Yarrowia lipolytica: one gene and its partner. Each later gene encodes a partner of the first gene's protein in a complex. Links are inferred from orthologs where the notes say so. Each region holds a gene or a part of one and is shown on either strand. Other genes may lie near its edges. The genes, in order: YALI1_D30097g and YALI1_F21426g.

The links.
Region 2: the proteins of YALI1_D30097g (region 1) and YALI1_F21426g are in contact, whole or in part, in a cryo-EM structure (PDB 7EGM), measured with the Saccharomyces cerevisiae proteins. The link is inferred for Yarrowia lipolytica from reciprocal best matches to the Saccharomyces cerevisiae genes SNF2 and SWI3. Residues at the interface, in NP_014933.3 of Saccharomyces cerevisiae: Pro485, Val486, Gly487, Ile488, Asp489, Thr490, His491, Ala493, Thr494, Tyr497, Thr499, Ile501, Ala502, Leu503, Asn504, Leu505, Asp506, Thr507, Thr508, Asn510, Asp511, Lys515, Glu527, Asn528, Tyr531, Asp532, Tyr534, Ala535, Leu536, Gln537; in NP_012359.1 of Saccharomyces cerevisiae: Gly421, Leu422, Phe423, Pro424, Phe425, Glu426, Pro430, Ser431, Val432, Gln433, Leu434, Pro435, Asp436, Met437, Leu440, Lys441, Met444, Leu514, Lys516, Val517, Lys518, Ile519, Leu520, Lys529, Gln533, Leu536, Lys537, Ile539, Gln540, Gly543.

The regions. Positions count from the first base shown.
Region 1 is NC_090773.1:3,007,911-3,015,818, forward strand, and holds YALI1_D30097g (uncharacterized protein), read left to right. Parts: upstream 1-1,782; coding exon 1,783-1,980; intron 1,981-2,661; coding exon 2,662-7,446; downstream 7,447-7,908. UniProt on the Saccharomyces cerevisiae protein: Involved in transcriptional activation. Catalytic component of the SWI/SNF complex, an ATP-dependent chromatin-remodeling complex, which is required for the positive and negative regulation of gene expression of a large number of genes.
Region 2 is NC_090775.1:2,140,934-2,145,554, reverse strand, and holds YALI1_F21426g (uncharacterized protein), read right to left. Parts: upstream 2,932-4,621; coding exon 568-2,931; downstream 1-567. Other genes in the region: YALI1_F21453g (uncharacterized protein), read right to left, coding at 1-222. UniProt on the Saccharomyces cerevisiae protein: Involved in transcriptional activation. Component of the SWI/SNF complex, an ATP-dependent chromatin-remodeling complex, which is required for the positive and negative regulation of gene expression of a large number of genes.

The DNA of each region.
Region 1 (7,908 bases):
AGGCTATACAGAGGTGATGGCGTACAAGTGTTAGTACTTGTCGCAAGTTTGAGCTGAAAAAGGCCGATTGAAAAGGGGACTAAGACGGGCCCCAACGTGCCATAGACTATTGGAAACACACCCACGCGGCCCAACCGCTCTCCACACACTTGTGCATCGGTCTGGCTGTTGCCTCATCCACACAACTCTGTGCACCTTTAGCTCGGATCTACCATAGATCGAAAGCTGCGAAAATACATGCCTTAGGCCGGGAGATGCGAGGCGACCGAGGCTGGTCTTTGTGCGGATTTGGAGTCGGAAATGGGGAGCGGAAATGAGCGTTTACAAGAGAATACGGCGACTTTCTGACGACACCAAGTCGCTCAATCCGGCCTTGAACACGGTACGGTACCGGTATCAAGACACCTTCCACCCCACTCCACCGCCTTGTCGCTTGGTATACAAGTTTACTGGTACATACTGTATGGTGTCTCTGCAACACCCTGCTGTTGTTGACCTTACATAGTCCCCCTCTGTATCCCCAAGCTTAGGAGAGATGGAGGGTGAAGCAAGCGGCAACGTTGGCATACAGTACGAGCGAGTAGAAAAAGTCGATGGAAAAAACAAGATGGTCAAAAAAAAAGAAGAGATGACCATGACGAGTACAAAACAACGACAAAACAAGAAACAAAAGAGCAGTCCAGTTGGGGCTTCCACTCTTACCAACGCCCTCTGTTCGGACTTCCGCCCGCTCCTCTCCCGCCCCTCTTCCCCCTACTCATACCGCTCTCAGCTATTCGCCTCGTCCATAAGTGTGAGGTGCTGTAGCGCTTGCTCCAAACTGCATGCACACATCGCGTGATTTACGGAGGATCCGAAAAGCTGGGGGAGCGAGATATTGCCACATGAGCGGTACCATTCGAACCGTCGTGGCGCGCTGGCTATTCCGCTCTACTTTTTGTCCCCAGGCGACCCCTATGCCGCCCACAGCATCGACATTTGCCCTCACACCACCCCTTCCCCAGGGAATACCCACCCTGACACCCGTGAGAGTTTATGGGGCTTTTTGGCAGCACCTTAAAATGATAGGCCGGACAAAGGTAGAACTGAGAAGACTCGTGGGAAACACAAGGCGGGAAACAACAGCGAGCTGGACTCATATACATACTCGCGGGAGACGACCACACAGACACAAGGACAGGGACACTGGCGCCACCCCAACAGGCAACCCGGTCCCCATCGTAGGGTGCGTTTTCTCGTCGTCATGCGCTCGCCACAGCTCCTAACTCTAAAAAAAAGCAAAACACAAGGACAAGAATCCACACTCACATGAAGAGACAGAAGCCAGGTTTTATCTTATCTTTGGCTAAATTGGGCAGAGGCAAAAATACCGGTTGGTAGTCCCCTCTTTGGCCTGCAAAAGAGACACGTTAGTTGTCGCTGGGTGGGTCGCTACAACACGTCGTTGTCCCAACGGCCTCCCATTGGCTGGACCTCCACACCCCCAGTTCGGGAAGTGTACCCTGCGCCCTGCTTACCCAATACGTAGTTTGCCACACTAGGGAGTCGTCCGCCGGCGCAAAAGACTGAATCCCCAACCCTCTGGTGCGCCCGCTCCCCCCCCATCCACGCACTACGCTCCACACAGCATAGCTACCGAGGTTACAAAGAGTGACAAGCCGGAAAGCATTTCGAGCGCTCAGCACATCACGTGACACGCGTTAGTGAGTAGCAGCACGCAGCACACGCAACACGCTCCACGACAGGACGACCTCGTCTAACACAGTGAACTCATACCCCAACATGCAAAGCGACATGGGCATGGGTCCCCAGGGATTCATGGACGGAATGATGGACTCGGGCATGGGCCAGATGGACGCGCAGAGCGATCTGGCTACGCCATCGCCTAGCTTTGGCAACAGGCAGGGTCCGGGAACTCCGATGATGGATATGGCGGTGCAGCCGCCGCGAAATATGGAGGATATGAACAGGATTTATGCGGTGAGTATGAGCAGCGCGGGCAGAGCGAGCCAAGCGAGCAGGGCGAGCAGCGAAGTTGCCAGTCTCTCAGTACGCGATAACGTCAACGCTATCAGTCTCGTCAAGTGCACGATGGGACATGATGAAACTGGACAGAAAGATGCACGTGGACGACGTGATGGACGACCTTAATCTATCGCGTGTGAATGATGTCAGCAGTATATCGATCCCACTGACGTCGTCGACACATCATCGATGATGATGAGTTACCCACGACGGGCACTTCCAGACGCGATCTCAGACACACCTCGAGAGACGATGATGACGTTGACAATTATAACCAACGACGCGACTATAGCTGTTATAGTGATCATGGATGTCGATGCATCATGTTCGGTGCAACGATGTCATCACAACAATGACGGTGCCGCGTTGACGTGTCAAGGACTGTTGTTCACGGGTGTCGTCGACGTCGTCAATGATGGCACAGGCATGATCATCGACGTGATGATTCATTGGCACTACCAAATATCTCTGTGTTTTCAGCAGCTAAAGGCACCGTTGTCGTAGGCGTTGTTGACACACCAGTCGTGTCTATAGTCTACAGATGATGTCCGACGTCATATCGTCGTTTTCCACCGTGACTGCCTCACTCAATGGTCTTCTCGTGACGTATGACTACTCGTTCCTCTACTAACCCAGCGCTACAAAGAACTCCAGACCCGTCTCGGAGCCAACGCCAGCTCTTCCCAAGAGTTCGTCGAGCTCTCCAAAATTCTCAAAGCGTACTCGCAACGCCAGCATATGTTCCGCCAGCAGCAACAGCAGCAGCAACAGCAGCAGCACCGGATGAAGGCCATGGGCCAGCCGCAGCAGATGCAGCAGGGCACACCCCAGGGCAACATGACGCCCCAGATGGGCACTCCTCAATTCCCCTCGCCTGGCCAACCCCAGCAGCCCCAGCAACAGCGCAAACCCTCCTCTGCAGGCATGTACCAGAACTCCAACAGCAGCATGCAGAGTATGAACGGCTCTCCCGTTCCGCCCCACAATCAGCCCGGTGTCGTGGGTGCCCAGGGCATGCCCCGGCAGTCGCCCACACCCCACCTGGAGCCACAGCAACAGAACTCACCATACACACCTGACATGCTCATGCAGATGAAGAACCAGCTCATGGCGTACCGACAGCTGAGCAAGGGTGCTGTCATTCCCCCTCAGGTGCTTCAGGCGCTGTTCAGACCCACTGGCCAGCCTCCTCAGATGACTCAGCCCCAGCAGCAGCCTCCGCAGCAGCAGCAGCAACCTCAGATGACTCAGCAACAACAACAGCAGCCCCCGATGCAGCAGCCTTCCATGGGTCAACCCCCGATGGCTCAGCAGATGCAGTCGCCCGCTGGCATTCCTCAGAGCCCCATGTTCCAGAACGCCAACCGGTCGCAGTCACCGGCCGTGTCTTCCGATACAAACTCTCCTGGCATGGGCAAGCGACGAACTCCCTCTCAGACTGGCCTGAGACGATCGTCCAAACAGGAGATCGACGGAGTGACTCCCATCGCAGCCCCCGCTGTCCCTCCCCCTCCTCCAGCTGCTCCAGAAACCATTTCTGGCTACAAGGATCCCTGTCTCCTTTTGGAGGGAACCTTTTCTTTCGATGATATCACCACTCCCGCGTTCCTGGACAAGCGTCGAACCTTTATTCCATCAATTATGCCCCGTGGTATGGACGCCGAGGTGATCAAAGATCTGTACGAGGAGCAGGTTAACAAGCAGATTAGTGATCGGATTACTGAGCTCAAGGAAGGTGATCTAGATGTGCCAGAGCTTGACGAGGAAGTCGACGAGGAGTCTGCTGACTCAACTGGTTCCGATGACACCACAGCACTAGACAACGCAATCGAGCTCAAATCACTGCAGTTAATCGACCACCAAAAGGCCTGGAGAGGCGATCTCCTTGCTGACACGTTCTACTTCAACTCTGTCGGTCTGGATCCCTACAACAAGATCTACTTCACACGTATGAAGAAGACTTCGCTCCAGGAAGCGTTCATGACCGAACAGTTTGGCACGCAGCAGCTCATGGAGCGCCAGCGACACGAGGTGCGAGTGCGGTCCGAGCAGCTCATCCACATCTGCAAGCACGCGCAGGACACAATCAACGCATCTCGTTCAAGACGACTACGACAGGCTCGTGTCGCCAAGGCATGTCAGAACTATCACGTGTTCACTGAGCGTGAGGAGCAGAAGCGAATGGAGCGAAACGCCAAGCAGCGACTGCAGGCTCTGCGGGCCAACGACGAGGAAGCCTACATCAAGCTGCTTGACCAGACCAAGGACACGCGTATCACAGATCTACTGCGACAGACCAATACGTTCCTGGACTCGCTTGCGCAGGCTGTCAAGGACCAGCAGAAGAGCAACAACAGCAACGGCAATCACGTCGACTTTGGTCCTCAACAAGATATGGATGACGAGGATCCCGACAACCAGAAGAAGGCCGACTACTATGCGGTTGCTCATCGAATCCAGGAACCCGTCAGCAAACAGCCCGATATGCTTGTGGGTGGTCAGCTTAAGGAATATCAGATCAAGGGTCTTCAGTGGATGCTCTCTCTATTCAACAACAACCTGAACGGTATCTTGGCCGATGAGATGGGTCTTGGAAAGACAATCCAGACGATTTCGCTCATTGCCTATCTCATTGAGACCAAGAAGATTCCTGGACCTTACCTGGTCATTGTCCCACTCTCCACGCTCACCAACTGGACGCTCGAGTTCGAAAAGTGGGCGCCTGCTATCAAAAAGCTCGTCTATAAAGGCCCCCCCATGGCCCGTAAGGCGCAGCAGAACGCTATTCGAGCCGGAGACTTCCAGGTACTGCTCACGACCTATGAGTACATCATCAAGGACCGGCCTGTGCTGTCTCGAATCAAGTGGGTCCACATGATTATTGATGAGGGTCATCGAATGAAGAATGCGCAGTCCAAGCTGTCGTCCACCCTGACTCAGTACTACCACACCCGGTACCGACTCATTCTGACAGGTACTCCTCTCCAGAACTCGCTTCCCGAGCTGTGGGCCCTGCTCAACTTTGTGCTGCCCAAGATTTTCAACTCGGTCAAGTCGTTTGACGAGTGGTTCAATACCCCCTTTGCGTCTACTGGTGGCCAGGACAAGATGGATCTTTCCGAAGAAGAGACTTTGCTGATCATCAAACGTCTCCATAAAGTCCTCCGACCATTCCTTCTGCGACGTCTCAAGAAGGATGTGGCCAAGGATCTGCCTGACAAGGTGGAAAAGGTGCTCAAGTGCAAGATGAGCGCTCTACAGTCCAAGCTGTACCAGCAGATGATCAAACACAATGTCTTGTTTATTGGTGAGGGTGTTCAGGGTGCTACAAAGACCGGATTGAAGGGTTTAAACAACCAGGTCATGCAGCTACGAAAGATTTGCAATCATCCCTTTGTGTTCGAGGAGGTTGAAGATCTGGTGAACCCCAACCGACTGACAAACGATAACCTGTGGCGAACTGCAGGTAAATTCGAGCTCCTGGACCGAATTCTGCCCAAGTTCAAGGCTGCAGGTCACCGTATTCTCATGTTTTTCCAGATGACGCAGATCATGGATATTATGGAAGATTTCATGCGGCTCAAGGGCTGGCAATACCTTCGACTTGATGGTGGAACAAAGTCCGAGGACCGATCCGGTCTGCTTGGGAAGTTTAATGCCCCCGACTCGCCCTACTTTGCCTTCCTGCTGTCCACTCGAGCCGGAGGTCTTGGTCTGAACTTGCAGACGGCCGACACAGTCATCATCTACGACACTGACTGGAACCCCCATCAGGATCTGCAGGCTCAGGACCGTGCGCACCGAATCGGTCAGACAAAGGAAGTGCGAATCCTGCGGCTTATCACCGAAGACTCTGTTGAAGAAAATATTCTCGAGAGGGCGCACAAGAAGCTGGATATCGACGGCAAGGTCATTCAGGCCGGTAAGTTTGATAACAAGTCGACAGCAGAGGAGCAGGAGGCGTTCCTGCGAGGTCTGCTTGAGCGGGAGGAAAAGCAGAAGGAAAAGGGCGACGATGACGTGGACGACGAGGAGCTCAACGAGATTCTGGCTAGAAATGACGAGGAGCGAATCTTGTTTGCGCAGCTCGATGCGGAACGACACGCCACGTCCCAGTATGGCAAGGGCAAGATTGAAAGACTTTTCACTGAAGAGGAGCTGCCAGAGGCGTATAAGCGGGACATCAAGCTGGCTGTGGAGCCCATCAACACAGACCAATTTGGCCGTGGAGCCCGAGAGCGAAAGGTCTTGCACTACGACGATGGACTCACCGAGGAGCAGTGGCTCGAGGCTATCGACAATGACGTTGACATGGATGAGACCATTGCCAAGAAGCGGGCCGACAACAAGCGACGGCAGGCCAAGAAGAGTGGTGCGGCCGCTGCAGCTGCGACTGCGTCTCCCCTGGACGAGCTGGAGGACCTTGATTCTCCCGGAGTCAAGCGAAAGCGGTCTCGAAAGCAGACCAAGGATCCGATGATGCAGGTGGAGGACGAGCAGCCCAAGAAGAAGGCTCGGGGAAGGGGTAGACCCAAGGACACACTGACCCCCGAGGCTCGAAAGGCGCTGCTGGGCATCATGAAGACGCTGTACAACCACGTGTTGAATGTGGAGGACTCGACTGGCCGGGCCCGAATCAATCTGTTTTTGGAGCTACCCAGCAAGACGGACTACCCAGACTACTACATTCTCATTAAGCAGCCGATTTCGTGCGCCCAGATCTCGAAGCGAATCCAGAGCTCGTACTACCAGAGCCTGGATCAGTTTCTTGAGGAGTTTGCCCTCATGTTTGCCAACGCGAAGCAATATAATGAGGAGGGCTCGTTTGTGTACGAGGATGCAGTGGCGCTGCATAACGCGTTGTTGGACAAGGCCAGCACAATGGAGGGTGTGGAAAGTACGAGGGCGCTGAAGGAGGAGGGCCAGACTCAGTCTGGTACACAGTCTGGCCCCTCGTCTGCTTCTGGCCAGTCGGGCCAGTCTTCCGGACAGTCCCAGCAGGTGTCTCAGCCTCAGATTCCTCAGCAGGTGTCTCAGGTAGCCCAACAGGTGCCTGCTCCTGCTCCTACACCCCAAGTTGTGTCCCAGGCTGTTCAGCAGCCTCCTCCCCAGGCTGTTCAACCCGTGCAAGCCCAGCCAGCTGCACCTTCTCAGGCGATGCATCTGCCCCCCATGGACATGATGAATCTCCACAACGGCCACGGACAGCAGCAGCCGCAACAGCCAGCTGCACCCGCCCCCGGAATGCACCTCGGCGACATGAACTCTCCCGGGTTCGACTCCCGGTTCGACTTGCACCACGAACTCGGAGGCGGTATCCAGGAGGATATGCATCTGGACGAGTTTACTGACAACTACTTGGGCGATTTCACTACCATGGGAGGGTCCTTTGGAGTGGGTGACGATTATAAACACGAGTGATAGAGAATGTATTATTAGGATTATGAGCTGTGGACTGAAGACAGGAGCCGTAGTGAGTACCCACTCTGCTGTAGACCTGAGCAGTAGTTCTGCTATGCATGCATCGTAGCTATGTGAGTTTGACACTCGTCTGTGTGAGCGTCACCGAGTGAGCTGTAAGGATGAACATCAAGCGGAGAGGAGCGTGAAGTGTGCCAGGGTGCCAGAGTGCCTTGAGGCATCTTCGGGGATAAGGGAGGAGGTTATCAGGCGTCATCTTTCACTCAAAAATATCTTTTGTCAGACTAGCCTGGGCAATTTTTTAAGCTAAGTAAACCCAAGCAGTGCCCATATTTTGATCTAACTGAAATCAAGAAGATTTTATTTTTAATAGTAGGAAATTAGTTGAGATGAATTGGTGACTTGATAGAGCTCAGTCACCCGACAAAGCTCATAATCTCATTCCAGGGAAAAGGGATCCAG
Region 2 (4,621 bases), on another chromosome or scaffold:
GGTGACCGATGACGTGATTTCCAAACCGCCCGCGTCCAAAGAAATCTCAGAAGGTACACTGAGACTGAAATTGTCCAAGTCTCCAATCAGAGAATTCTCCACTGGTTGAACACGCGGCGGAATCTCAGGATACTCGTCGTAGATACTCCACGGCTCCTCGGCGGAATAAACGTTCGAAAAACTCACATCTCCAATGTACTGGTCTAATAGTTTGTCGATCATGGTTGAGTCGTGGCAGGGACACTCCGATCTCACAACGCATTATATAGAGAAAGAAGAGTAGCTAACAATAGCAGTATCTCACGACGGTACAAACGTTTGTTTTGTTTTTGAAACCACATGACCCGTCAATAGACACAATAAAACACTCTCTACAGTGTCCCGATGACCAGTCATGAGGATATGCAGCACAGTTTGGCCAGCAACTATCACCACTTCGCCATCGTACTATAGCCAAGTGAGTTCTCGCTCCTCTCTTGACATCAATTAAACAATTTATTAATATACAACCATCTTCACCGTTAGCAACACGCCTCCCTGTATTCCTCCTCATCTGTCTCCCTAGACCTAAGCCTGCCAGAAAGTAAAGGTCTGCTTCTTCTGGGTCACAGGAGTGACATTGTCCAGCGAGTTTTCCACACAACTGTTCTCCAGCGCCTGGTCCTGCACAGTAGGTGCAAACGACAGCTTGGTGGCTCCCCGCACAATGGAACGGGCCTGGTCAATCAGTTGCTGGTTCTTGGTCTCCTCAGCAGCCTGTGTAAGCAGATTGTCCACCTGCGACACCTTTTTGTTGAGCAGCAGACGCTGCAGGAACACCTGCTCACGCTCCATCTGCAGCTGCCGTCGCTCCATCTCGATGATGCGCTCCAACTCGGCAAACTTTTCCATCTTCATCTCCATCTTTGTGGCCTGCGCCTTGGTCAGCTCAAACATGTCCCGGTACATTTCCTTCTCGGAAAAGTCGGCAAAGACCTGCGCCTTGGTGCCCAGGGTAGAGTAGCCCAGCGACGTGAGCGTCTCAAGAGGCACGTCCTTGATGGAGGTGCCGGCATCGGTAGAGTCAGATGCTCCCGGGGGATACAGAGCTGGGTCATCATCAGAACCCTCCTCCTTGACGGCGTCCTTGTCGTCCTTATCTCCTTCTCCACCTTCCTTCTCCCCACCGTCCTTACTGTCACCATCTTTGGCAGCAGCAGCCTCCTTATCCTTCTTTTCCTGCTCTCGCTTTCGTCTTCGCTCCAGCAGCTGTTGCTTCTTTTGCTCAGTCATTTCGAGTTTGAGGGTCTTTCGAATCTCCTCCACACCTCGACCGGTCATGGCAGACACCACAGTAGGGTCCACAAGACCAGTCAGGAACGAAACCACCGACAAAACAGGGTTATCCACATGGTCAAACGGCAGGTACTTGGGACTCACCTGAAGAGGAGACACCTTGATGTCCTGGCCAGATGTAGACGCTGAAACATCGCCACTCTTGCCCAGATACTTGTCTTCGGTAGACAAGGAGATGAACTTGAGCAGACACTGCTCCCGGGTCTTGTTGCCGACTGTCTCGGAAATGGCGGTCCAGTCGTTTCCATGCTCCTCGATACCGTTGAGCAGGTTGTACACCTCCCGCTTAGTCCATTCGGGATCGGACTGCACAAATGGCTCAACCTGGGGAGTTGTGGGTTCGGGTTTGACTCGCACTGTGTCGCCCTGGGTGCCTACCTCGGCCCCACCCTCTTTACTGCTGGTATCCTTGTTGTCGTTGCTGTTGCCACCATCCACAGCATCGGCAGTATCATCACCCTCCACCTTCGGCTTTTTGGCCTCAATCGAGCCACCCTCCTCGATGGAGCCGTTCTCGCCAGCCCGTTTCAGGAAACGAGTGCCCCTGTATGCCTGGAAGGGGAACAGACCACGTGGCATGTCCTCAGTCACCTCCCAGTGGCCTGTAAAGGGAGGGGCAACCATTTGGGGTCGGGCCTCAATATCAACCTGGTAGTTGATGAGACCCCACTTTTCGAGAAACTGGTGCACTCTCATGATGGCACACACGTCGCCTAGCAAGTTTCGTCTCACAGCAGTCACAGTTAGGTACTCCGTGGGGTGCAGTCGGTAGGTGTTGATCATGAAAGCACGGTACCGCTTGTACACCTCAGGTGTCTTAGAGTTGTTGCGCTGATTGAAGAACTCGGGAATGGATTTCTTCTCTATCGAGTGGATGCGGTTCACGTTGAACCAGCTGGCGTAAGACGGGATCACAATAGTGTGCGCCTGGGGGATGTAATCGGGCACCGCGTTTCGGGGCACGGGTGGTGGGGCGACCACGGGCTTGGTCTCCTTGAGTTTTTGGTCGTCGGGGATGGCTGTGTCTGCGTCAAGCATCTCCGAGTCAGCCTCCTTGTCGTCCCTGGGCTCTGCGGAGGCTTTGGGCTCGACTTTGGTGGTCTCGGCGATTCCACCGGTGGCCTCCCACTCAGGCTCCAGGTCCATGTTCCAGTCATCCTCCTTGTCGTCCTGGTCCGCAGGCATGTAGTCTACATCCATACCATCTGAGGGCAGTGCCGGTGCAGGTGACGTGGCAGCAGCAGGCTCAGAGGTCTCAGGCTTGGGTTCAGAGCTGGAACCGTTTGCTGCACCATCTGCATCTGCACCGTTTGCGGCCTCTTCAGCAGTGTCAGTGGCAGTAGTAGCACCCTCAGCAGCAGGAAGACTCTCGGTAGTGGAAGAGGTGGTCTCTGTAACAACAGCACCGTCGTTAATTGTGTCTGTGGCGGGCTCCTCGGTCACAGTGGTGGGTGGTGGTGGTGGTGGGTGGTGGGTCTCCACAGGAAGCCGTAGCGTCAACAGGAGTATCAGCACCCGCAGGAGGTTCAACGGGTGCAGTGTCAGCAACAGCATCAACATCGGGGGCAGGCTCATCACCACCTGCCACGTCAGCATGAATCACGGGCTCGGCATGCTCCATCGACTCAGCCGTGGCCTCGGTGTTGGAAGTCGCTGAGGTTGCGGTAGTGGGCTCTGTGATGGAATTGTTGTCGGTCGTATTGAGGTCGTCGACGGGCGCAGCGGCACTGGAGACGCCATCGGTCGACGTGGGGGCGCCATTGGGGGCGTCTGCGCTGCCGCCGGCTCCAAAATCTCCCTCGGAAAACATGTTGTGTCGCAAAAGTCGGGGCTGTCTTCACGCGTACAACTGCGAGCTGTCGCGTATACCGTTTACTGTTGTCTGGCTTGTGCGACTTCGGCAGGGTAACTCCAGAGGTTAATCTGGTAGGGGAGATTGATATCGGCGAAATGTATGTTTTCTGGCGAAGAACTTGGTTGGAAATCAATGGGATGGAAATAAACAGTTTTTTTAAATCTGCTGTTGAAATTTCTCACCCATTGACCACCTGGAACCACATGTTATCAAACCCATCCGTTGCAGAGGACTGCTTACGTCAGCAAAATAAAGTTCAACGTGAAATTGGGAGAGGCTGGAGAATCGTCTCGATTTGATAATTGCACTTGGAGGAGTGTGTGACGCATGTAAGGTACAGCACAGGGACGTACGATACACGGGCTAAAGGGTGATAGGAGGTACATTACGTGATATGTGGAGTAAGTCACGTGGGTATTAGTGTCTTTAGAGTTCATTTTCGTTAATTGGGATGGGTATGTCACGCTTGACCATTGAATCATTTTGAGGGTATTATTTCGACTTCCCAATAACTAAGCATGTGAGATAAAATGCGATAAAATGCGATAAAATGCGATAAAATGTGATAAAAAGCGATAAAAAGCGATAAAAAGCGATAAAAAGCGATAAAAAGCGATAAAAAGCGATAAAATGTGATAAAACAAGACAAAAATAATAACGAGACACAAATAGATGCAGGTGTGTTAGATACAGACACAGACGAAATTCCCAGTCGAGTTACCATCTCAGAACATCTGCACCATACTTGAGGAACTACCACCTGCCCGGCACATGATATCACCACAGTACTTGTACTCATAATGTACTGTACTCATAATGTACTTGCCGACAGCGCCGGATAGAAGAAGACCGTTCGATGTCATATTTCAAATGTCCTTGCAATGTTTGTGGATCATCTCTACTTACCTCCATTTCTGACAAGTTACAAAAGTTTCATTCACTCCAAGAAACGGGCTTGGCAACGCTCAAAAAGCCCGACTAATCAATAATGCCTGGATCGGGACACTACATTCCCCGACATGCATCCGAAAGGGATACGACAAGAGCAACGGCAATGATGGGTCACGTGGACCGAGGAGAGTGGCACGTGTGTGGTCACGTGATTGCCACCTCCAATCCGCGCCTCTTGAGAAAGTTCATCTGCCCGTTGTCGGAACCCAAACACTATACAAGAGGCGATCAAATTGTCTTTGATCTATTACTTGTGATCTTCTAGACTTCCCCACAATCATGGAAGAGATACCGCGATACCGAAACCTTAAAAAAAGATGGTACAAGTAGCGACATGGATCTTTTTGGATGTACAGGTGATGTGTGTGTGGGATCTCATTTGAGATGTGGGAGGTTGGAATGAAACATGCAAAGGGTCTTCAATCGATTCTCTCAACTTTTATCCAACTATTGGCGGCTCTAGAAAGAGCATCCATCGTT